Oryzias latipes: one gene and its partners. The protein of the gene in region 2 purifies or fractionates together with the protein of the main gene of each other region. This does not show direct contact. Links are inferred from orthologs where the notes say so. Each region holds a gene or a part of one and is shown on either strand. Other genes may lie near its edges.

Region 1 (3,986 bases), on a different chromosome or scaffold from region 2:
ATGATGCATTTAACTGTAAAAAGATAGTATTGTAGCTTCTTAAAGAGGGAGTCCATCTTTGCGTCGCTCGATTGAGTTTCCCTTGAACAGTGAAAAGGCTGTTAGGTGTGTTTCAGTCGGATCAGAGGTGAATGGGTGCAGGTCGGAACTTGTTGAGCAGACCTCGTCTTGTCTGACAGCAGTTCACAGGCCTAGCTGCTTCCGTTGGTGTTTGGAGGAACCTCCCTGTTACCATATTTAGAACCTTTTCCGATCTCAGTCTGGCCAATCATCCACCGAACAGCCACCGACGCTGCAAAAACAGAAAGGATGTCCTGTTCATTTAGAAAGAATCAAGTTATTGGGGTTTAATTTCAGGTTTTTCTACTCATTGTGATCCAGGTGAACCTTTTACAGATTTTTAGGAAAAAATCTGGCAAACTTTTAAGCTTTTGAACAGTCATGCCTTTTAAAAAAGAAAAAAAAAGTAGTTATACGTTTGAATCTACATCTCTATTTTGGAAATCTCAAGTCTGGATAGTTTCCAGTTTGTAAAATAGGAAGAAAGAACTTACAGTGAAGACGGCAAATCTGCTGCTTTATTGAAATGTTGGATAAAAATGTATTGATTAAGTCGACCGATTCATGTTCTCAGAAAAAGTGAATTTAGGAAACCGACCTGCTGAGGAGACCACCACAGCGGCGATGATGGTAAGCGCCGATCCAGAGCTGATTACGTGAGTGAGCATGAGGCCCAGAGGGTAGAGAACCACACAGGACCAGAACAACCAGTTCATCAGAGTCCGCAGCTGACGGGGAGGACTCGTTTTAGGGCCAGGGAAGAGTCCCGTCTTTTCATAAGCCCCCTGCAGCTCATCCTGTACACGACACAGCGGAGTGAAATATGTATGGCTGAAAAGAGCTGCTGCCTGCGACTCACTAAAACCTTTCAGTTGGAACACTTTCCCACCTTTTCCTGGTAAAGTTTGTGGAGCCAGGCAGCGCACTCCTTCTCCTCTTCAGGAATCAACTCCAGAGGAATTCTCCTGTGAAGTTAAACAGAGGCAAAACATCAAGAACCTGGAGCTAAATTGGAGCAAAAGTCAAACAATACCAAATATTTGTCTACCGAACGTATAAATCTGCATGATACTTCTTCCCATTGAGGACTCCAAGCATGGTTGGCGTTTCGTTGTCCCTGAAGTTCAGGGTGGAGTCATAAACAGCGGAGACTGCTCAGGACAGGCAAACAGAAGGGGTTAGCAGCTTTCGGGGGAACTGGATCCAGACTGAAGGTAGAAGGGATGCTCACCAGTTCCCCTAAGGTTTTGGACCGTCATCCAGAACCCCTTTGTTCTGGGCAGAAGATGGTACTTAAGTTTAGGTAAGCCTTTACTCTCAGCCACTTGCATGCTGGCCTGGTGTTTCTCTGGTGTGAAGCGTGTTCCCTCACAGAACAGCAGAAACTAGTTTAAAGAAATATATAAGAAACTTTTTATACATATCACTTTTATTGATAAAAAAAAAAACTACAAAGGGAGGCGAAAAACCCACCCAGTAGTTTTCTGGGTAATCCCGCAGATTCTGAAGACTCTGAGCCACCAACCTCCGGTCCTCTTCCCACTTCCTCTTGCAGAAAACTATCTCCAGGAAGTACCACATCCAGCCAATCACCGGCACATATGCCAGCTCCTGTTTGGCCAAAACCTTTGAGCTCTGAAAAGTATCAAGAAAAAACAAAAACAAGAAGGGTGGGTTAAGTGGTGTTTAAGTCGGCGAAGATCATTTCCTCATCTTTGTGCCATCTCACTCCCAGAACTCCAAAGCGTTCACAGAAGGTCCAGCCACACAGAAAGTCGATCTCAAAATTATGGTTGAGAAGAACAATCGCGTTCTCCTTTCCATACAGAGGATAGCTTTTTGGGTCGGTGTAAAGTGTGCATTCCGTGCCAGACCACCACTCCAGGACTGCAACTACCTCTGCGACACACAAATGCATTTTCATGAGAATTGTCACGTTGGTTATCTTATCATCTGGAAGGACAGATTCGGACAAAAAAAAGAGGACAGAATGTACTAGGATAAAAGAGACAGGGAGTACTCACGACTGGCGATGCAGTAGCCCAGCCGGATGTTGATCCTGCGAGCCAGCTGCTTGCTGACCAACCCCACGGGTAAAGTGCACACCTGAAGCAGGTTGATGAGGAGGCCGCTCACCAGAAACACATAGCCGATGATCAGGTGGCAGATGAACAGGGATTTCAGCGTGGACAGCAGCCCCATCCTCCAGGAAAGCCTAAAAAACACTACATTTACTCTAAAAGTAAACATGATTTTCTTGTTTACATACCAACTGTTGTGGGTCATCCTGGTATTTACTTGTCTAAAAAAAAATCCCTGACAAGTCTTTCTTGTTTGAATAAATGAAAGAAGCCTTTGAGCTGGGAGTCTGTAGTTACAGAGCTCTCCAAAGACCCATCCAGGCCAGAATACAGCTGAACATCAGTAAGAACCTTCTAGTGGTGTCATCCAGTGGTGTCAAACTGGACTCAAAAGTCAAATAATTCACTTTAATTTATTTTTATAGCACGTTTATGACAGTTGTACTTGACATTCAAATTTTAAGCAAACCATTGATATAAAACATGAAATATTACCGTTTCGGATGAGCAGCTATTCTTTCTCTGACGTTTTTAGACTCTCTCTGCACAGATTAATTCTATAAAAGAAACTTCCCCGCTTCGTCCTTTAGATTTTAGGTGTGATTCATTAAACGGTAAGAAGGTTCACCTCCTAGAAGAAACTTCCCGATGAGGAGCACCACGCCCTTCTACGAAGATCGTCTATTCATCTCAGGCTGTCCGCAGAGCGCCGCTCCCAAACCAAGTTACTGATGCCATCTGCTCGTTACATTTACAACAAATACATTAGTCACTAATATAAATGAGGGAAACCATAATAAAAATTAAAAAGGATAAAATAATATAATATGATTGGGGTTTGTCTTTTGCCGTAAAACGCGACAGAGTGAGTCAGCTTTCCACAATTAGCATTCTCTGTTTTACCCATGTTCAGCTGCAGGAAATGTTCATCTTTTGCAAGCTCAATGACTTTATCGCACTTATGAAACAAGATGTGAATCACGTATAAACTATAAAGGTAGAAAACAATTTAAATCTACAGGAAGAAATGCTATTAATTCAGTGTTTAGATCTAGTATTGTATGTCCTAAAACAAAGAAGTGGCTTCAAGTTTAGAAGGTTTTATTTGAAAATGTCATTTCTAACAACAACTTTTGATCTTAATGATCTATTATGCATGTTTACAACATTGGGTAAAATGTTTTGGTTAAAATATACCTCTTGGGATTTTGCCATTTTTTAATTCAAGTAGAATAAGTTGCACTTAATGTTTTACTTGCTGCTGCTGACATGTCAGAGGTGCATTTTTTTTAAATGCAATTATTATTATTATTTTTTTTATGTTCTGTGAACTTCTAATTTAGAGGCAAAAGAATAGAAGATAAGTTGAACGTGCAGAAAGTAGATAAAAAAAGGTGAGAAGACTGAAAAAAGATGGCTGCCCTTTGGCCGTGTGACCCAATGCAAAAAAACATTCTTTAGATTTTGACTTTAGACTACTTTATTAAAAAAAATTGAGATATTGAGCTTAACTTTGGCTATTATGTCTCACTAGGCTTGTTACAGCATAATTACTTTACTTTACTTTTATTATTTTTTACTTTAAGCATTATTTTGAATGAAAATCCAGTAAAATAAAAAATAAAAATGCAAATAAAGTAGAAAAGATTTTAAAGCAAGGTTATGCTTTATTATTCTTAAAATGACTGAAAACATGTCAATACGAATGAGTTGTGCTGTTTGCTATGTTTTTCTTCAGTCTAAGTTGGATTCTTGGAACATTAGAATTGAACTAAAAACATTTTAACTACAGCTTGAAGAACTGATAGAGAACAAGAAGAGTAGAAAAAAATCTCACAATGAATA
Region 2 (4,126 bases):
CAGGCCTTTTCACAATAAAAGCCTGGCTATTCCTCCTTTACTTTGAAAGTCTGCTGGTTTCAGATGTGCAGCAGAGCTGTTGGCTGCAGGTCACCTTTTTCAGGGCAGACAGGTATGGAGGAGCACGAGCCACGTCTCAGCCAATCACAGGCCAGAGTGTGGAGACCGCAGAGGTTCCTCACAGTGATATAAGTGAAGCTGAGATAAATGCCCGCACTGCATTCCTCTCCACCTTCATCACTGATGAGCTCCAGCATGTTCTCCTTAAGCAGGCTGCTCGTGACGGTTCTGTGTTCGGGCCCGGTTCTGCTCGGTTCCGTCGGGGCCACCCCCGCGGTGGAGGGCGCGTACGAGGCCGTGGTCCGCGTGCTGGCCCCGGGACAGCAGCATCTGACGGAGCGCTCCGTCCGCGCGCTCTTTAAGGCGCTGCAGGCGCGTGTGCAGTGCGGCGGAGTGCCGTGTGGAAAGGTAGGTTTTATTGATGCCCGCGAGCCCAGGTGCAGCCAGGTGAGGCCAAGCACGGCCAGAGTCAGGCTGCCGAACCGAGCTGTTATCGGAACCGAACAAAAGAGGTTTAGGACTTAGTGGTGTTTGGTTCTTCCTGCAGTCAGAGAACTTAGATCGTTCTGGTTCATGAAGGTCCTTTAGAAAAGAATCCAAACTCTTTTAGTTCTGATGATCCAGAGCCGTCAGTCAGTCAGTCAGTCAGTCAGTCCAGCTGCTCTTGTAGTTTTTAAATGTTTATCTTTACTAAAACTGTCAGCCAGTTGAACTCAGAAAGTTGACAGATTTGAACCAAAAGAGGTTCTGAACGTTTTTCCTTCTGTTATCAGGAGTCACAGTTAACAGAGTCTTTTTTCTGAGGACTGGATGTGAATCTTTTCATTTTTCCTGAAATAATATAAACCAAATCCATGGCTGGAATGATGGATTATGAATTATGAAATGAGATGTTTTATTAGGCTCTGGTCTTTTCTGCCCCTCCACTCTACAAAAAAGCTGGAAATAAAAAAAACTCCTTCCTCTGAATATGTTTAAATCCAGGCTGATGGAGGACAAAGTCACCCGTTTTACATGAGCTCTCATTTTGATTTATTTAAGTTTGAAATGTTTACATTTTTACTGTAAATGTAACGTATTGTTTTAGCCAGGACTCGCGTGAAAAAGAGATTCTTCATCTCAGTGGGACATTTCCTCTAAAGAAAGGTTAAATAAAATACAAATAAAAAAGATCTCATTTCAGCGTTGTCATGGTGACCACACAGGCATCATGGGGCTTCGTCTAGAAAACTCTGCAGACGTCATCAGAAAAGCCATTTGGTTTGTGGGACGCGGTTATGCAACCCTCATCTTATCAGTAGGAGCAAAGTTCCTGAGCTTCTTCAGAACTGCAGAACCGACAAAAAGCTGCTGCAGGGCAGCAAAGGAAGAAAGGAGTGAGAATGACTTCAGCTGGACAGTGAAGGAATGCGATGAAAGAATTCCTCTACGGGTCGCGGCGTGCTGCTCGGGTCAGACGGGCCGTCGCTCCAAAGCCTCCATGAAATCCTCTCAGTTCTTCCTTCAGAGGACAGAAGAACCAAAACCTTCCAGGAGTTTCCTCCACGGAACGCTTCAGAGCAATAAAACAAACCCCAGAGAGCCGTTCCTCAACAGAAATGAAACAATAAAGGAAAGTTTCTGTTCTAAAACCAGGAAAATGTCGGAATTCCTTGGAAGAGATCAAAGAAATCAGTTGGAATGATTTAGTGAAACATTTTGTTCTACATTTGTAGATAATCTCCAGGTCAGCAGAGATGTTTTCAGGGTTTTATCGTTGTGTTTTCTTTCCCTCCGTTCTTTTCTTATCTGCCTTTATGGTGAAATCTTTCTGTCCAGTTAAATGAACAGAAACGTTTTTCATATGTGTTCAGACCTCCTCACTCTGGACGTTTCTTGACGTTCTGTCTGTGGCTGTTGTTCAGTGTGATCTGGACGGCGCCGTTCACCAGCTCGTCGGCAACAGCTCCGCCCACACGCTGGAGGAAGGCGGGAAGAGCGGCAGAACCTTCACGGTCGGCGCGTCTCAGTTTCCCGCTCTGGCAGCCGGCAGCGTCCTCTTCCTGTCCTCTCCTGACCTGGTCTGCGCCGCGGCGAAGGACGGGAGGTGGGCGGAGGAGACCGAGCGTTTTCTGCACACGTACACGCTGGGCGACCACGGTGACATCAGCATTTATGCTCTGGAGGATCTGCTGCAGGAGCTGCAGAGTCACTATGAAGCTGCTGAGAATCAGGTAGAACACAGAGATGATGCAAACGCTGATTCCAGCAGCTCAGGTTCTGTTCTGAAGGTCCGATCATTCCTGAGGACAGAGGACGCGGGCGGAGAAACCGTCACACTAAGTGGAAGCTGCATTCACCTGTTTGATCCTTCTGTGTCACCATGGTAACCAGAGCTGTGCAACAGCCAGCAGCATCATGCAGGAAGCTGAGGCGTCGCCGGAAGTGGGCGTGGTCCTGGGCCGCGTGCTGACCCACGCTCTGCTAGGACACTGCTTCAGCGCTCATCCTCTGCCTGAGGAGAGCTTCTTCCTGGACTTCATCATGGATCACGTGGGCTCAGAGAACTTTACCGTTGAAGGTAAGGATAGTTGAAACCGGTCACTTATTACATCATCACACGCGTGTCCTTCTGAACATGCTTCCCTCCTGCAGCTCTGGAGAATCTCATGATGGTGCTGAACATTGGATCAGGAGAAGATCATGAGCATGCATTCATGCTTGATGACCATGAGAGCCACCATCATCATCATCATGAACAGAAAGGTCGGAGGAAGAGGAGCAGTGAAAAGCATGAAGCCAACGCCACCTGGGAGCATGTAGGTACCTGGACCAAACACGGGACTGAAGGCTGCCGGACTCTGTCTGAAGATCTTTGGGTTCCGTTTGAGTTCATCCATACTTTCTCTTTTCCCGTCTCAGCGCTGTTTCTCTGCTGGGGAACTGCTTCAGATCCACGGTCTGACTGGCTCCGCCCACTCCGGAATGGGTCGGTCTGAGGTGGTCCGCCTCAGTCCTGCTTTCATCCAGCAGATCCTCAGTGGAGCGTGTGCAGAGGCGACCGAACCGGAAACACAAGACGGACTCACAGAGGCTGAGAGTGAGTCTGTTACCATGACGACAGAGGGGGTTCCACTTACCGATGAGTCATTGGTTCTGTAAGAACCACAAGATTTGGGGAACTTGGATGTTCTTTTTTACCAAATGTTTCTGTCAAAGACCCTCAGAACGGTTTAGGGTTGGTTGTTGGTTTGATTCCCTGAATCAATGAACCATGATTCCCTTATGGCTATAAACTTCGGATGAACTCATTGAATCCTTGAATCCTTGAATCCATTAATCCTTGACTCCATGAATCCATGACTCTTTAAATCCACGACTCCATGAATCCATGAATCCTTAAATCCTTGAATCCTTAAATCCATCACTCCATGAATCCATGACTCGTTGAATCCATGAACCCTTCAGCCTTCAGAACCCTAATGTTACTTTTTTTCTGGGTTTTTCTTTAAAACACTTTGGAACTCTAACATCCTGCTGGTCTCTTACAAGCCACAAATCAAAAGCTTTTATTATTCTTTAGAAAATCAAAGTAAAAAATTCCTGTCAATATAACAGTACTCTCAGATAACTTTTAGGGATCAATAAAACGATTGAAAAGACTTAAAGCAAACATCCCAATATTTCAAGTTCTCTTGCTTTAGTTTAATAAACGGAGGTGAAGCAGAAGATTGTGAGATAGATGCTACATAATTCTCCATTCAGTGACATTTCTTTAGTCCAGTCTAACAGAGACTTGATGATCGTATTGATTATTTACATGTTTGTAATAAATCCAATCTCATCTACTGACACTCAACTCTTAAAGCTACCAGACAAACACATTCAGGCTGGTTTTTTACCTTTATTTAGTTGTTGTGTCCTCCACCATGAACAGGGTCAGTGTGCACGTGTCAGATGAGGTTTTCCTTTGCGTCTAGAGAGTTTGATTTACCCATCATGCTTTGCCCTTTCCTTCTTGCAGGATACCTCTATGCCACTGTGGCCAACGTGGTGATAACGCTGGTGTCCATGCTCGGCATCGTTC
Region 3 (3,942 bases), about 4.2 Mb from region 2:
GTGACAAACTGTTGCTGCTTAGAGAATCATCAAACTAAAACTAAATCAACTTTTTTTATTTATAAATTTTATTTTTTAACATTATTTAAATGAAGAACAATCCAAAGTACTTTTTTTATAAATATTTAAGTATTGAATTTTTCCTTTATTGAACAATTACTAGTGAAAAACAGCAAAGTATGAAGGCTAAAGTTCCGCTTTTTAAGACTTCTTTCTAAAAATGATTTGAAAACTTCCGATTATAATGTCATTTTGGTGAGAATGTGGGGTAATGGGCTGTCATTTCTCTGTAAACCTTGACACTTTCCGCGAGGCGTTTGGACATGTCTGAGGACAGCTGGTAGCGGATCATTGGACATTTCTTCAGAGCCAGAAGAACGGATGTCAGACCCTGAGTGCAGCGACTCAACATGGAGGGTTCCCAGCTCCGCCCCTGACGAACGAACAAAGAGATGCACTTTTATCCTCATTTAGCAAACCAAATCTGTCATGTGAGGCCAAGCAGCTAAAAAAAGGAAAGCTTACTCTAGCGACTCCCTGCAGGTTGAGGGAGAACAGGTGAGGGTTCACAGCGATGAAATCTCCATAAAACTCCTGGAAAAACACAAAAAGATCTTCCTGGATCTGAACTTTAAGATTCTTTCTGAGCTGCAGAAATACAACCTAAAACACTGAGATGCAGAATTTTTATAAAAACTTTGATGTAAAAAAAAATAAGATTGTTCCAAGTGTGTTTATGATAAACAAATGAGTTAGAAGCGTATTAATGCATCCACTGATGTTGTTCCAGACTGTCATCATTTCTGGTGTTTGTTATAGAACAGAAGTTTTTTTTACGGGCAATTTGATGTAGTAACTGTGGTATTCTAATCTTTTAAAGTCCCACTCTGGTTCTCATGCATTTCAAAAGTGTTTCCTGTGGTGAAATTCGCCTCCGAGTTGTGGGCGGAGCCATCATCCACCTGTTTACATGTTGTCCTGCTAGCTTACAGCCCCTCACACCCCAGTTTAACACTGTAGCAACAACGGCGAGCGATATCGGAGCTATTCAGCCGTACCGTTTGGAGTTTCCAGCTCGGACAAGAAAAATGAAGACATACATGGAATTATTTGACCATTAGTTTGTGTATGTGGCTCGCCCAGCGTGTTTTCTAAGTAGCATTTATGATCTTTTTCTTTCTTTTGCTCCCGATTCACAACAATTAGACTAAAGAAATACTTAAAAAATGCCATTTTAATCTTAATTTTCTTAATTTGTGTCCTCCGTCATCAGAAAAATGCAACAAGAACGTGATTAAAGCACCACAAACATGATTTTCATCAGAGTAGGTCTTTAAAAGGATTTGTTGCCACTTAATAGTTACTTTTGTTACACAGTCAATAACAGCTAAGACACCAAATAAAGGGTTATTTCCAGTTATTGAAACGTACAGATGGATTGTAATGAGGGGAGAAATATGTCCAATAAATTGAAGATTTAAAACACCAAGTAGGAGCCGACGCTCACCTGGACCTCAGCCACCACCTCCTGTTCATCCGCCTCAGCCAGAACTTTGATCTCACTCTTACTGATCACGTTACTGAAGTCTGAAACACAAGAAAATAGGAGCTTAGTGAGGAGTCTTATTTCATTTTGCATACATCTAATCTTTTTTAATCATTTGTTTCTTGCGTCAAGTCATTTTTAGTTATTTTGAGTTTTTTGCTTTAATATTTTTTTTTTATTCTGGAAGCAAAAGAAAATAACTGACTGCCTGAACTCTCAACAGATAAACATTTAACACACAGATGAAGTAGATGCTGTATTTGGGCCTCCTCAGCTCCTGGATTAGATGCTGAACGTTCTCCTGCACACAGAACAGGACAGAACGTTAAGACACTTTCCACAAAAAACAACAAACTGTCTGCTGGTTTTGTACCTTAGTGGGACGGAGGAAGCAAATGGCCTTCAGGTGCTTCATGCTGTCTCTGCTCTGAGAGTCGATCCGCTCGAACAAGTAAACTTCCTTCTGCAGGATCTCGGACTGCGTGTACACCACACTGACTATACTGGTCTGACACACAACACGGGTAGATTCAGTTCAAACTGCATGTCATAGCCAAAAAATAAAAATAAAAAGAAATATGCATTTAGTGAGACGAGCAACAGAGCTAAATATGTGGCTTTTATGTGGTTCCAGTTGCTGTTAAATCTTGTTTTCATCTCCAGTATGGTCAGCTGTTGACCGTCCGGTGCCTGACTGGAGGGAATTTCAGCATGGAGAGGATGCTGCGGTCTGGATCTGGAATGCTCTTATTTACAAACATGACTCATTTGAAAAACAAAGCCATTAACGTTTACATTTATTTACTTTTGTTTAAGTTTATCATTAAAACTGTACACTAACTCCTGTGTTAGCATAAGAGAACAAATACCAAGTGAAACAAAGGAGTGACAACATCTCACAGGAAGCAGGAGGACAATAGTCACGTGAGGCAACAGTATAATATGACAGAACGACAGGAGTAAAAGTGTCATTGATTGTCCCACCGTCTCTTTGTCCATGAGCAGCACCTTCATTCCGGGCCCGCTGCTCTCGATCATTTTCGAGATGTACTGCTTCACCGCGAGCGTCACGTTCATGATGGCCTCGCTGACGCACAACAACCGTGAAAACGAATCAACCAGGAAGAAAAAAAACAGCAGCAGCCTCCAAGAGTCTGTGTCGCTCCGTTTGAGGGATTTTCTGGGGTGCTATGAGGAGGACTGAGCTGTTGTGACAACACTGAAAGTCTTTTCCTGGTTTGGTGACGTCATCACGTCGTGCGTTGTAAAGTGGGAGGGACGAACCGAGCAGTTCTTCTGGGACTTGTTTTAAAATGTTAACGATGGTGTTTTTTCCTCATTTCTTCGTTTTTCGTGGAAGAATTAATTTAACATGTGCGGGTTTTTTTTTTTACATTAAAACTTGGAATTTTGGCAACATTTAAATCATTTAAAGCTTTAAGGTTTTCAATTAAATAAACATACAATTAAATTTTCTTGTTTTCTTTCAATGGATTGCTGATGTTTTCAGATGTTTTTCACTTACACTAACTGCCTTTATGGTCTTTACTAAGTTACATCCATAAACCTTAGCTTTTCCATAATCCTTTATCCTCCTCTGATCCTGTCTCTCAGCTTCCTTTTGCCAACAAAGTGAGCCTACTTTGTAAATATCTAATTAAAGGCAGGTTTTAAAGCAATAGATGTTATAATATGGACATACATTGGCTTAAATCCTACCAAAAAAATCAATTCATATAGTATCAACTATAAATGAAGGCCAAAAACGTAAATAGCAAATTAAAGTAAAAAGTCATCTGTTGTTTGATCCATAAGTAACACACATTGATTTTTTTCTTTCTAGTAAAAATGACTAAATCTAGCATATATTTTGCCAATAGACATTACCACTGACTAAATATTAGTTGAAAACAAAAGGCTCACAATTGTTAGCATGATGCTAATACTGTCCAGATTCCAAAATAAAGTACAACAAGATAGAAACATGAAATAGATTTCTTCAAAATACTATTTTAAACGTAGCCTAAAAATGTTAACAATGAAATATTAACATTTGCATGTGTTATTAGTTTAATAACTATTATTTTTCCTAAACTGATAGGACTTAAGGTGTGGGTTTCTGCAACAACACGACAAAAACTCTTAATAAGTACACTAAATGTATAATCAAAAAATGTTTTTACTTAAAGCACAAATGTTAAAACCACAACAATGTCACATTCTTGTATTTATGGTTAGTTTGACTGATCACCATTGTCTGCTGAAGAAACCTAAATAAACCTGTATATTTATAGATTTTGCTTGCTAAATAAACATATACGTCTCTCAAATTTAAATACTACTATTTAAAACGGAGGAATAGATATCTATAAATGTCAGTATATTATGATCACATT
Region 4 (4,099 bases), on a different chromosome or scaffold from region 2:
ATTTTCAGGAAGTTTCTGCACCTGGGTGATGGCTGACAAAAAGTAACCCAGAAAGTCACTTTCCATAATACCACAGCCTGCTGCGAGGATTTATGCATCTGCAGTTCGAATCTAAAATAAATGTTTAACAGAAAAGATAGAGGGGCTGGTGTTACCCCATTTAAGCGAATCTTGTCTAATCTGACGGAGCAAACTGCCCGACTCTATAAAACTACTTTTAATTTATCAATTACACAGCTTCGATTTTCCATTTTAACCTTTATTTCCTTCGCAACTTGCAGTGATATGAGTAATAAAAGTTCATTTTGCACAGATTAGTGTCAACACTGAGGTTTCTTCTCACCTGAAACCTCCATGAGGTAGACCCTGGCAGCATTGGCTGCTCCGCCACACAGGAAAACTCCCGTCAGCATGATGCAAAGGGATGTGAGGGACGCTGTCATCGTTTCTATGTCGGTTCCAGTGCTGTAAATGGTGTCTATCACTTTGCCAAGAAAGAATGGAGCCGACATGGTCACTGTGCTGGAGACGGTCAGGAAGCCAACAGCAGCTAGGTCAAATCGAATGCAAAGCGAGATCAGAATCACTAAAAAGATACAAGCTCTTTATCAATCTGGATGCGGAGATGGCTTTGGTCATTTAAAAGTGTAATTTACACAATAATAGGCAATAAAAAAGTAAGATACGTTTTAAAAAAAGTTAAATCAGCATTGCAGGGTATTAAAATGGTAGGAATCAGAAACCTAAAAACAGTTTCCTTCTGCTTTTTGAAAAGCAGCAATTCTTATATGTCTGAAACTGAAAAGTGTGTTTATAGCAAACATAAAGTGAAATATCATCAAGGGCTATGCAGGTGATAAACATGGTGATATTTTCTTCTTTAAAGCTTTTGTATATTTAAATCAAGCACAGAAATAAATATTCTGCTTGGCAAACAGAATTTAACTAAAATGTTTACGTGAGAGGTGTAACAATGTATTTTAACTATTCAATTCATTTCATAATTTGTGATTGCTGTTACGATTCATAGTCGATATTGATTCCTTTTGAATGATCCGATTCATTAAGCTAAAATCAATCCAGGACGTCTTTAGCCAAAAATCTGAGCAGTGTGACTCAGAAATCCCTGGTACTGAAAGATAGTCTAGTGTAAACTACATATGTGTACAAACAAACAACTAAACAAGGGTGAATGGCAAATCCATTCACTGTTTAGTTTCCTGAAGTTCAGCCCTCTGTTGTTTTTCCACATCACAATAATCCATATTGGAACATTAATAGAACATTCTAGCACACTGTGTGGTCGCATGTCTTTTCTAAATTCAGTGTTTCCACACATTAGACTGTAAAGATGAACTGATCATGTTTTGCTGTCATCACGTGTGTTGTCTGCTGTGATGGTCGTTTTTACGTTATGGTAAAATAAACCTACCACGTCTCAATCCAGATGGTATTTTTCATTTATAATCAATATTATTACTTCATTTGGACACAATTTCAAATGTTATAGCTCGATTGGATTAACAACTTTCCTCAGACAGATAGATCTGATTGGGTTGTAGGAACAGACTGATTGATTTACCCCTTACAGCCCTATAGATGAAACAGATCAGTGTGACTGTCACACTCTAAAGAGAAAGCAGTGATGCCATCCATGATGACTGGCGGCAAAAAGGATGCAATTGCAATCATAAAGAAAAGAAAAGTACTTTAAAGAAGAATCTGTAATTATGGCCGAAAATAACATCTTGGATGTGCTTTTTATGATCTGCAGCTGGGGGGTCAGAACAGCCCACCTGCCACTCTCCATCTCTCCGGATGAGCGAGTCTTAGGATCCGTTTGACATCCTCCAGAGGGACGCTGGTGGGGGGCTGCCGGGCTTCCTCTGCGTCCGCCCGGTTCTTCTCCACCTCCGCGGATCCCGCCGAGGAGGAGCTGGCGAAGGCAACAGGTGTGTGACGGACTGCTGCCCTTCCCCGGCCTGCCGGGGTGAAGAAGAGGAGCGAGGGACCCGACAGCGGACGGAGGCGCGGGACAGAGGTGAGGGGTCTGCCCCAGGGAGAGAAGACAGGTGCGGGATGGACGGAGGACTTTCTCCGGGGAGCGGCGGGAAGCCTCGGACCATAATCCATCCAAAACCTGGGCTGGGTCGGCTTGAATTTACACAACTGCATCCTGCGCGTGCAGATCGGCACGCGGAGCAAAAGTCGCATGTTTAGAGTTGATTAAATTAAAATAAATAATGATAAAAAAAACTAACAATAAATGATTATATTCCCATCCAGACTCAAAGACCACAAATCCAGTTTGTTGAATTGAAATATCCTCCTAAAGAGACGTGTAGGTCAACTAAACGCATCCCGATGCGTTCAACTGTGAGGTTTGTTGTCGATCATGTCCAGATTTCAGGCGGTTATTGTGCACTTTATCAGTGCGTGACAGCCGCCTTCAACCCCAGTTTATCTGTTATCGGCGAGCAGCTCCCAAACCCCCGCCTGTCCCCGTCAGCTGTCACCCGGAGCAGGGCAGAGGCTCGGCCGGCAGCGAGGGTCACTAAGGCTCAGGCCCACCCCGGAAAACTAACCGAAAAACATCTAGAAGGAGAGGAGAAGACAGGAAGAGAAAAGGTGACCCTGTTTCGGTGTGAGTGAACGGGAGATACGGTCCCTCCACCTCGACGAGGAATTCAACGGCTGATGACATAAGGAAAGATCACCAGGCAAAACCAATCAATCACAGAGTGATCTAAAGTTTTCTGTTTTCCCCAAGTTACCTGATGTAAAATGAATTTTATGCATCATTCTTGTCAACTATAATATAGAATACAAAAAAAACATTATCGTACTATCGGCACCTATAACAACAATAATAATAATAATAATTTATTATTATTATTATTATTATGATAATTATATAACAGCTGATCATCACTGATAATGATAAATAGTTCAAAATTTTGTAACAAAAGAATTGTTGTTATTGTCATATAATTTTAATTGCGTCATATTTGGAGGGAAAATGTATCAGTGGGATGAGCAGCAGAACTATTAATGTGGGTGAAAAATTAGCAGACCCTTCTCCACCAACTCCTGACAGCAGTTTCTGTCATTGGCTTTAACTTGGTGTTTAGTAGACAAGATGATGAAATTTCAAGAATGAAGACCTCAATTTAAGAATTTATTCATCTAACAAAAGGGAGCAATGTGGAAGAAGTATGCAGAGGTGTCCTCACACCAACTTGGCACATCCTCGTGCCAGTCACCAGGATCAGACACTGCTGTCAGTTGGATCCCATTTTTCAACCCATTTTTTTACACTTAACACGAGTGTAAAATGAAGTTGTAAATACTTCTGGAAGGTCGCTTCATCCTTCCCACTCCCAAATTCTGTTAGTTAGTTAATGGTATCTGATAAATCATTCACTATGGGGCAAGCACTAACAACATCCCAATTGCATGTCCCTTATATTTGTGGCATCATTTGTAAGGGAAATAATATGTTTATTAACAGTTTGTTGTAACCAAAATAAATACTTGGCAGTATGGCATATTTTGATAATATAAAAAAGTAAAAAATAGAATAGACATGATCAGAAATACTGACAAAGTAGAAAAAAAAAAAGTAATATCGATGGTTTCGCCTTTTGATTGCTTTTGACTGGCAGGCGGGGTGAAAGTTCATACGGCTGAAAACAGGAGACACGTGCGGAGCAGGAGCACATTTGTGAGTCATATTTATTATAAAAACATTTACTGTAACTATAATAGATCATTTATTTTGTGGCCTGATGAGGTGTGTTTTCAGAAAAACCAAAAAGCAGGTCGTTGGTTTGTTAGAAAGCAACAAAGTAGCTTTCTGTCTGTTAGCGTAAAAACGTGTAGCTCGGTTACGGGTAAGAGACAAACACAAAGGCAAACTTTGAAAGATTTGGACACTGGTTTGTCCACCACTTTTAAACACATTATTGTTTCTAAATGGAATCTTTTGAGTGAAATCATGTATTCTGTGAGTTTTATTTGTAGCTCAACATTTAAGTTACACCTGATGGTTTGTATGCTGAATTCAGAACGCTTGCACAGCCTGTTCTGTCTTAAAGTT
Region 5 (4,117 bases), on a different chromosome or scaffold from region 2:
AGTTTGCTCATAAGGAGTGGACCAAAATACCTGTGGACAGGTGCAGAAGGCTCATTAACAAATACAGAAACCGTTTAATTGCAGCGATTGCCTCAAAAGGTTGTGCAACAAAATATTAAGTTATGGGTACCATCATTTTTGTCCAGCCCTATTTCATTAGTTTTTTTTAATAATTCTGTTAATCAACAACTCAAAAGTAATGGCTGATTTTGATTATTTAATTTTCAATAAATTTTAATTTGTTTAGTTTTGACCGTTTCAAGTCATTTCAGTGAGCATTGAGGACTTTTGTTCTTTAACTGAGGGGTACCAACATTTTTGTCCACCACTGCAGGGTTTTGTTGCAATCTCACTTTGAAACAGTGAACAGATGCTTTGATTATTTTTTCCAGCTGAAAAACATATTTTTCCAAACCACAATTCTGTAAATATATGGGAGGAGAACATGGAGTATTTGAAGGAGAACTGCTACACAGAAGTCTAACGCCACTTGGGATGGCTCCATTAACCAATGCAAACTCTGTAGGTGAGACATGCAGATTAGAAACTCAACGTATGACATCATTACCTTGTGGATTAATCAGTTGTGTACAATAGAAATGTTCTTTTCAAATCAATTTTCAAGAATAAATATTCTTGTTTTTGTGTAGAATATCTGCGTTATTCCACATATAGTATATATTCAGAATAATTCAAACCCAACTTTATTTGTAGAGCACCTTTCATTTCGGTTGAAAACACAAAGCGCCCAAAATAAAAGCAAATAAAGTCATAAAAAGTGAAAATTAATTAAAACAGAAAACACAGGACAATCACACACAGATGGGACACCTCTCTCACCAGATTCCTCCCTCTACCCACCCAGTCCCCCCAGTAGAACCCTGGAAAAAAAGTAAGAACTGCAGGTTAAAGAGACAGTCTGGCTTGGCACTGCTGTGCAGAAACGAGATCATGGGGATCCATATGTTCCAAGGACCAGGCCGACCACGCGCCCGCCCAACACAGAGCAGCCTAGGGCCCATCACTCTACAGCTATTAGACCGCAGAACAGGACCCCAGCCGGCTCAATGAGTGAGCGCCGCAGCAACAGCACCCCCTACAGGCGGAGCCGGTAGTTCCTCCTGAAAGATGGATCCACAAGAGGAAACACTGGAGTAATAAAAACGTCAGCACATAAATTATAATAAAATAACAATATTAAAAATAAAGAACAATATTGGGTTAATAATTTCTGAGAGTAGTCCCTCCCACACACACGTCTGTGATCAAATTTTTTGACAAGGGTCGAAAGTGAGTTTTCTCCGAGGACGCCGTGAACGCAGCAGTGACGCTGAGCTGCAGACATGGCGCTGTCCTGTTTGAGGATGTGCCGCCTCCTGTCACCGGTTCGACTGTGTTGTGTCGGTACCAGCAGTTCGACACCTAGCTTTTATCTCTCCAGTCTATCGCATCAGTCCAGGTAATGGTCGTAAAGAACACAATTGTCAACATTTTTACGATTTAGCTTAACTGAATTCGTTTAGCATGTGCTAAGCTAGCTGTTTTATTTTGAAAACGTGTGACCGCACATAACGACCTTTCCAAAACAAAATTAACCTTTTTTGTATTTGTTATAATTAAACTTCAACTATCAGTGGACTCCTCGGCACAGAGACATTACAGTGTTTTACTTGTCATTTGAGTATTTCGTGGTGTTTTATATGAAAGTGTTCCTCTTTCTGTCAGGTCTCCTCTGTGTTACACAGTGTGTAGACACTACACCTCATCCAAAGTTAGACGGGGTCTTGGACGTTTTATTTCTTCCAAGCTCCAGACAGCCAACATAAAATATGAGAGTTTCCTCAAAAGGAGGTTTCCCAGATTCTTTCTGCTGTATCACACTTTCATGGAAGGTAAGTTCCCTCTAGTCACCTCTGAAGTCATTTCTATAGATTTATGATCACATTTGACGACAGAAGACGTCCAACTTTAGATTAGTTTTCCTTTGTTTTATCATTGTTTTCTTAATATATATCTTGTTTTATTATTTATTGAAGGCACATTCTTGTTCAAGAACACAATGTTCAAACTCGTGGTTTCATATAGGGAGCTGCTCACTGGCTTGTAACTACCTGAGGCAGCTTCATTGAAGCAATTAGAGTTTCAGGTCTTGCTCAATGGCAAGGCAGTGGGGGAGACTTCTGAGCATTTGTCCCACATAGGAACTTAAACCACTTCAGTGAAAATCGTGCTTTTGGTGTTTCAAACATGTTCTTGTGGCAGTTCTATCTCAGACATTTAAGCTCAAAATCGCATTTCTGAGTGTTTCTTAATTCAAATCGATGTGAATCAGGAGCAGATGTAAAAATGCCGTTTGGAAAAGCAATGATGTTGAAGTTACAGTCGGCAGGCCACAAGCTTCCTGCTCCGCTCCATTCTGATGCATCCACTTGCAGACAAATAGATCGATGGACGTCTTTGTTTTCCCCGTCTGAGCTGACATTTGGCTCCAAACTGTACGACTATATAGCTCCGGTATTGCTCACCATTTTTATTGCACTGCTAATGTTAGGTTGGGGTCGTAAGGGGGTGTAAGCTAGCAGGATAGAGTATAAACAATGGGACAGAGGGATATCAGCAGAGGCTTACTTTTGTGCCAACAATCCCTCCCACAGTCCACCCACAAAGTTTCTGATGAACTACTGCCGCTCTGCGGAAACTGTCCTAGAAAACGACTTGTCTCCTCTTCAACAAGACCACCAGGAACACTTTTATAATAGATCAAAAGATGATTGAACTTTAAACTATCAACCTCTAGGAAGCAAGACCACGAAAGAACACACATGAAGGGCATTTCCCCCCAGAACTATGTTTGAAAAAAATCTGTGGGCTCGCTTTTACTTCCTAGAAATGTGTCCTAAATTGGCACTTGGTTCAAATCCCAGCTGCGACCTTTTTTATGAAGGTTGCATGTTCTCTCCATACATGCCTGGGTTCTCTTTGGGCACTCCAGCTTCCTACCACAGTCCAAAAACATGTTTTATAGGTTAATTGGTGACTTTGTATGAATGTGAGTGTGTGTGATTGTAGTTGTGTTAAGTTTTGTTGCATTTGTTTTTAGCAGCTTGCTTATAAGGTTTGCAAAAAATTTTGTGTTTATTAAAAATTTTTTATTGCTATCCTCCATTAGGCTTCAAAATGTTGTTCCATGATGCCAAAGAGGTGAAGAGGATAAAAATGAAAATGCTTTATGAAGGTGTAAAGCATCAGGACTTGCCCTACAGGGAGATGGAGAAACTAAGACAGGTGAGTCCTTTTTTCCTAAAACACTTTCAAGGAGTTCATCAGAAATGTGCCTGTATTATTAGATTGGGGCCGTGAGGGGCTGAAAGCTAGTGGGGGGAACATAAAAACAGATGGATGACGGGAAAAGGAGGCGGAGTGTCAACAGTCCCACTTACAATTTAGAGGACAATTTCTAATAAACTCCTGCCGCTCTGCAGAAACTATGTCCTAGAAAACGTTTTTTGATCCGGGCTAAAAACGAGAATCATAATTAAACGACCACTGGGAACGCTTTTACCATATCAAGTTCCTCGCTTATAGAAAACTCAATCCAGGCATAATTATCATCAACATCTTTCCAGTCATTGGCTGAATCTTTTATTTACAATTTGTGTTCATGTAAAATAGAAACAGAAACTGTCACCTTGAAACAAACGTACCAACCACTTAAATAAGCCATGTTGGCCAGCCTGCGCTCACAAAGACAAATTAAATCCTGTTCTGGAGAGTCATAGATTTATGTCAGGACTGAATCTAGCACATTTTCATCCAAACAAATGCCGGACGTCTTTCAAAAATGAGCCTGTTCTCTGTGACGATCAGCCGATGAGAATAAATTGTTGGACATGACAAAACTTGTAGACCGTCTCCTGGCGTCACCTGACAGATTTGAGTGGAAAGTTTCTACACCAAAGGCTTTGATGTAGAAACACAACAACTTAGCTAACTTTAATTCACCTTTCCTCTGAACTCAAATGTGTTAGTGTAAATCACGCAACATCACTTCTGGGATATTTATTTTTTAAAGCTGAGGGTTTTAAAAGCTTAGGCTGTTAGATTTGCGCTTGGAGAG
Region 6 (3,500 bases), on a different chromosome or scaffold from region 2:
TGTTTGTCTGCTTCAAACTCTCCCTCGTTTTCATCGTCTCCGTTGTAGTCGGCCGGATCTTCGTCCATGTCTTTGTCTAACAAAAAGTGAAAAGTGTCAACAAGCATGAGACAAACGTTCACGCTTTCAACAAATACATCCTTTTCCTCAGAGTGTCTTCCAACTGTATTACAAAGTAAGGGGTTTAAGCTGCAGTTGTGCTCTTGTTTGCTTTTTTTAAAAATGTAAATTGAGAAACAAACACATACCAAGGTTTTCAGTCAGCATACTCTGGTTTTCTTTCTCCATATCCACTCCATCCACTTCTTGCTCCTCTGCGTCATACTCGTCTTGTTCCTCAGGCCTCTGACCAACCGGACGATCCTCTGCCTTCTCCTGACTAATCAGCATGTTTTCCAGCCCTGGGTCGACTTCTAAGAAGCAAAATTTGCATTTTGTTGGAACTGTCCAGCAATGTAGATAAAAGTAAATCTGACACCTAACACTATGGGAGCATTAGTTTAAAGAAACCTTAATTGATGTTTTTCTTCATCCCGGGAGTTTTATACCTTCAATCTGGGCTTCCTCGTCATGAATGTTCATCACCTCCATTTTATTATTGTCAGACAGGCTTACAGGTTTAACCTCATCTGCCTCGGCCTTGTCCTTTGTGAGGTCTTCATTTTTTGACAGCTCTACTTCATTGAGTCCAGCAGCAGGCGGAACAGACTGTAAAGGCGCTGTCAGGAGGTTCTTGTCCTGCTGTCTGCTTAGTGAGGCATCAGAGCCTAAAAAACAAAAAGGTGGGGAAAAAAATGGTGACATTTCAAACTTCACGCTAAACTGCATTGAGTGCATTAAGACAAGTATACAACAAATTGAAAGTATTCTCCCTTGTATACCTCTGTCGGTGATAATTTCATTGGTTTGGAGCTCCAAAGTTGCATTGAGTTTGGGCTGAGAGATGATAGAAGTGTGGCTTTCAGCTTCTGGCACCAATACAACAGTTGAGTTTTCTTGCAGTTCTTCTTTAACTTTGTTTTCCTGCATTGCAAGGAAAATAAAATGTATTTCCTTTAAATTCAAAAGACAAAACAAGTAAGAAAATCTGCAAAAATCCTTGCTGAAGGATGGGGTATCACCTAATGTACAGAAGTTAAAATCTTTAAAAAATGCACCAACTTTTGAGATGCACAAAAGAAAAGCATTACCGTATTTTCCGGACTATAAGTCGCCCTTTTTTTCATAGCTTGGCAAGGGGTGCGACTTATACTCCGCAGCGACTTATATTAGAAATAAATTGAAATAAATACATTGTTAACCCTCCTGTTATGTTCATTTGTGAGGAACAGAGATGATGTTCCTGGGTCAATTTGATGTATGAGGTATGTTAAGTGTTAAGAGTATGTTAAGTGACTCAGAGAATCAGCAAACTTTTTTTTACAGTAAGATCTTGAAGGCTAACAACATAATATTCTATTTTCCAATGATTTCATAGATTCGGAAATGCAATAAAAGTGAAAACTGTTTCTACAAATACAGGATGAAAACAGAGTATTAGTTAGCCAATGATGCTTCATGAAAAGAATAAATAAATAAGTTTGAGAAAAAAATTACTGTGAAATTATGAGATAAACAGTCTGCTATGATTGTGTCATATAAGGTTGTGAAAGTTAAAATGCGACTTATAGTCCAGTGCGACTTATCTGTGTTTTTTTCTACTTTATAATGCATTTTTGGGCTGGTGCGACTTATACTCCGGTGCGACTTATAGTCCGGAAAATACGGTAGTTTATTAATTGGCATTAAACGTGTTGTAAAATTGCTACCAAACTATGCTTAAAAAAAAAAAAAAAAGTTAAGGGATTTTATCTGAGTTTATGTTTGATTCTAATTTCTGCAACTTTTTAAAATCTTATGACAAAACACATTCTGAGAAATTCCCCATATCTAAGCAGCACAGCTTAAAGCTTTTTTCAGCTAAGAGACTTCAACCCAATTTTTGAACGAGCATTTTGGGCTAACTTTATTCTGAGGCTCAACAGAAAATCTATTTGAAGTCATGAGGAGATGCAGTCTTACAATGTTACTCATGTAAACCAACTCACCGGTGAGATGCCCGCTTCAGGTGAGATGAGCTTCTCCATCCTCTTCTGGACTTCAAGCGTCGCCTTGGCCACTCGGTCGTCGCACAGCTCTTTCTGAGAAAGGACCTGGGACTGACAGTGAGCCCTGCAGACATGAACCCACACACCTGTGTTCACCTGGACTGAAGTGTGAAAGGGTGTAAAGGCTTAAGCAACTACTAGCAAAAGAGAGAAACAATGAGGCAGTTTTTCTGGAGAAAACGAACCCCAAAATATTAAACAAAAAAACTGCATGTTTTTAAAATTTAAAAAGTCTCTTAACTTAAATAATCATGACCGCTTTTTATTTTGTAAAGCATAGAATTAACATTTTTTAAAATAAAATATTAAAAATTAATAAAAATCTACACCTTGAATAACATTGATGAACATCTCTACACAGTTTGATGAAAAAAACGTTCGAGTTTTACAAATAGCACGACCTAAATTATGAAGACAGGAAATCAGAAAACAGGAAATCAGGTCTGTGGTAGTACGTGTGTTTTACTCTGTGTTTTATTTTTATTTTTCTTAAGTATTTTTCTCTTTCAGATGGAAAATGTCTCGTGTCTAAAATTTGTGCCAGAAAACTACTTTTCCCCTGAAATAAAGTTAAGATCCATTCAAGTCTCCATCCTGTCTGTCAGACGTTTGGGACATTTATGAAACAGGCGGGCGGAGTACAGGGGTCTTTTGTTCTGGAAATTCAATTGCAAGCTTTACTGTGTGAGCGAACGCAGCAGGAGATTGTGTAGACATAGTGTTCTGGAGGCCAAACACATCTACTTTCCATTTCGGTGAATACAAGTAATGATTATCTACATAACTAAACAAGTTCCTGCAGCATTTTCATTGTGTCTGTTTGCAGAGAGTATGAATGTTGTCAGACTGAACCATATGAAGTAAAAATAAAATACATGGAAAAGGCCTTCCGCGTAATATTTCTTCGGCTTACATGTCAAATGTGAGTTTTTTGTCCAGTGTTTCAACGTTGTCTTTGCAGTTTTGCAACTCCTTCTGGACCTTCCCCAAGTCATCATTTAACTGATTCAGTTGAACTATAGGACAGGAAAAAACAAGGTGGGATAGTATGTTAAAATAGGAAACAAAGAATGAGACAAGAAAAAAGTGGTTTCAAAGTTACCTTTGAGGTCCTCTATGGTTCTGGTACTGAAGGAAACATTCTGCTGCATTGTGGCCTAAAAGACACGATGGAGCGACATTACAGCAGTTTGACAGTTCAGGATCCTATTGTTGCTCGGATTCCAAACATTTTCCGAAGCCCTAGAATTCTCAGTTTCAGCTCAGAATGATGCTGGTGTTCACCTGCTCTTGGCTGCAGGTGGTCTGAACTCCCTCCAGCTTCTTCTTGTAAAAGTTTTCGATTTGAGCAAT

What was found.
Region 1: the proteins of slc39a4 (region 2) and agpat4 purify together in Homo sapiens (affinity purification with mass spectrometry; 3 studies listed by BioGRID and IntAct, with this or other methods). This does not show direct contact. The link is inferred for Oryzias latipes from reciprocal best matches to the Homo sapiens genes SLC39A4 and AGPAT4.
Region 3: the proteins of slc39a4 (region 2) and vps45 purify together in Homo sapiens (affinity purification with mass spectrometry; 3 studies listed by BioGRID and IntAct, counting the BioPlex papers as one, with this or other methods). This does not show direct contact. The link is inferred for Oryzias latipes from reciprocal best matches to the Homo sapiens genes SLC39A4 and VPS45.
Region 4: the proteins of slc39a4 (region 2) and abcb10 purify together in Homo sapiens (affinity purification with mass spectrometry; 3 studies listed by BioGRID and IntAct, counting the BioPlex papers as one, with this or other methods). This does not show direct contact. The link is inferred for Oryzias latipes from reciprocal best matches to the Homo sapiens genes SLC39A4 and ABCB10.
Region 5: the proteins of slc39a4 (region 2) and letmd1 purify together in Homo sapiens (affinity purification with mass spectrometry; 3 studies listed by BioGRID and IntAct, counting the BioPlex papers as one, with this or other methods). This does not show direct contact. The link is inferred for Oryzias latipes from reciprocal best matches to the Homo sapiens genes SLC39A4 and LETMD1.
Region 6: the proteins of slc39a4 (region 2) and golm1 purify together in Homo sapiens (affinity purification with mass spectrometry; 3 studies listed by BioGRID and IntAct, counting the BioPlex papers as one, with this or other methods). This does not show direct contact. The link is inferred for Oryzias latipes from reciprocal best matches to the Homo sapiens genes SLC39A4 and GOLM1.

What each region holds. Positions count from the first base shown.
Region 1 is NC_019873.2:25,316,689-25,320,674, forward strand, and holds the start of agpat4 (1-acyl-sn-glycerol-3-phosphate acyltransferase delta), read right to left. Parts: upstream 2,801-3,986; 5' UTR 2,637-2,800; intron 2,276-2,636; 5' UTR 2,263-2,275; coding exon 2,085-2,262; intron 1,960-2,084; coding exon 1,790-1,959; intron 1,696-1,789; coding exon 1,534-1,695; intron 1,446-1,533; coding exon 1,292-1,445; intron 1,212-1,291; coding exon 1,109-1,211; intron 1,026-1,108; coding exon 950-1,025; intron 858-949; coding exon 659-857; intron 293-658; coding exon 192-292; 3' UTR 163-191; exon of another isoform or gene 82-162; 3' UTR 1-81. UniProt on the Homo sapiens protein: Converts 1-acyl-sn-glycerol-3-phosphate (lysophosphatidic acid or LPA) into 1,2-diacyl-sn-glycerol-3-phosphate (phosphatidic acid or PA) by incorporating an acyl moiety at the sn-2 position of the glycerol backbone.
Region 2 is NC_019869.2:286,592-290,717, forward strand, and holds the start of slc39a4 (zinc transporter ZIP4), read left to right. Parts: upstream 1-1,326; 5' UTR 1,327-1,786; intron 1,787-1,892; exon of another isoform or gene 1,893-1,964; 5' UTR 1,965-2,273; intron 2,274-2,433; 5' UTR 2,434-2,457; coding exon 2,458-2,620; intron 2,621-2,694; coding exon 2,695-2,858; intron 2,859-2,961; coding exon 2,962-3,139; intron 3,140-4,063; coding exon 4,064-4,126. UniProt on the Homo sapiens protein: Selective transporter that mediates the uptake of Zn(2+). Plays an essential role for dietary zinc uptake from small intestine. The Zn(2+) uniporter activity is regulated by zinc availability.
Region 3 is NC_019869.2:4,532,289-4,536,230, forward strand, and holds the start of vps45 (vacuolar protein sorting-associated protein 45), read right to left. Parts: upstream 2,801-3,942; 5' UTR 2,624-2,800; coding exon 2,531-2,623; intron 2,055-2,530; coding exon 1,920-2,054; intron 1,848-1,919; coding exon 1,787-1,847; intron 1,588-1,786; coding exon 1,508-1,587; intron 595-1,507; coding exon 526-594; intron 434-525; coding exon 296-433; intron 1-295. UniProt on the Homo sapiens protein: May play a role in vesicle-mediated protein trafficking from the Golgi stack through the trans-Golgi network.
Region 4 is NC_019861.2:24,520,858-24,524,956, forward strand, and holds the start of abcb10 (ATP-binding cassette sub-family B member 10, mitochondrial), read right to left. Parts: upstream 2,801-4,099; 5' UTR 2,215-2,800; coding exon 1,797-2,214; intron 551-1,796; coding exon 344-550; intron 1-343.
Region 5 is NC_019865.2:22,147,943-22,152,059, reverse strand, and holds the start of letmd1 (LETM1 domain-containing protein 1), read left to right. Parts: upstream 1-1,317; 5' UTR 1,318-1,343; coding exon 1,344-1,459; intron 1,460-1,725; coding exon 1,726-1,892; intron 1,893-3,169; coding exon 3,170-3,285; intron 3,286-4,117. UniProt on the Homo sapiens protein: Plays an essential role for mitochondrial structure and function, as well as thermogenesis of brown adipocytes.
Region 6 is NC_019867.2:11,007,772-11,011,271, forward strand, and holds part of golm1 (Golgi membrane protein 1), read right to left. Parts: coding exon 3,432-3,500; intron 3,305-3,431; coding exon 3,250-3,304; intron 3,164-3,249; coding exon 3,061-3,163; intron 2,212-3,060; coding exon 2,088-2,211; intron 1,024-2,087; coding exon 882-1,023; intron 768-881; coding exon 549-767; intron 414-548; coding exon 249-413; intron 77-248; coding exon 1-76.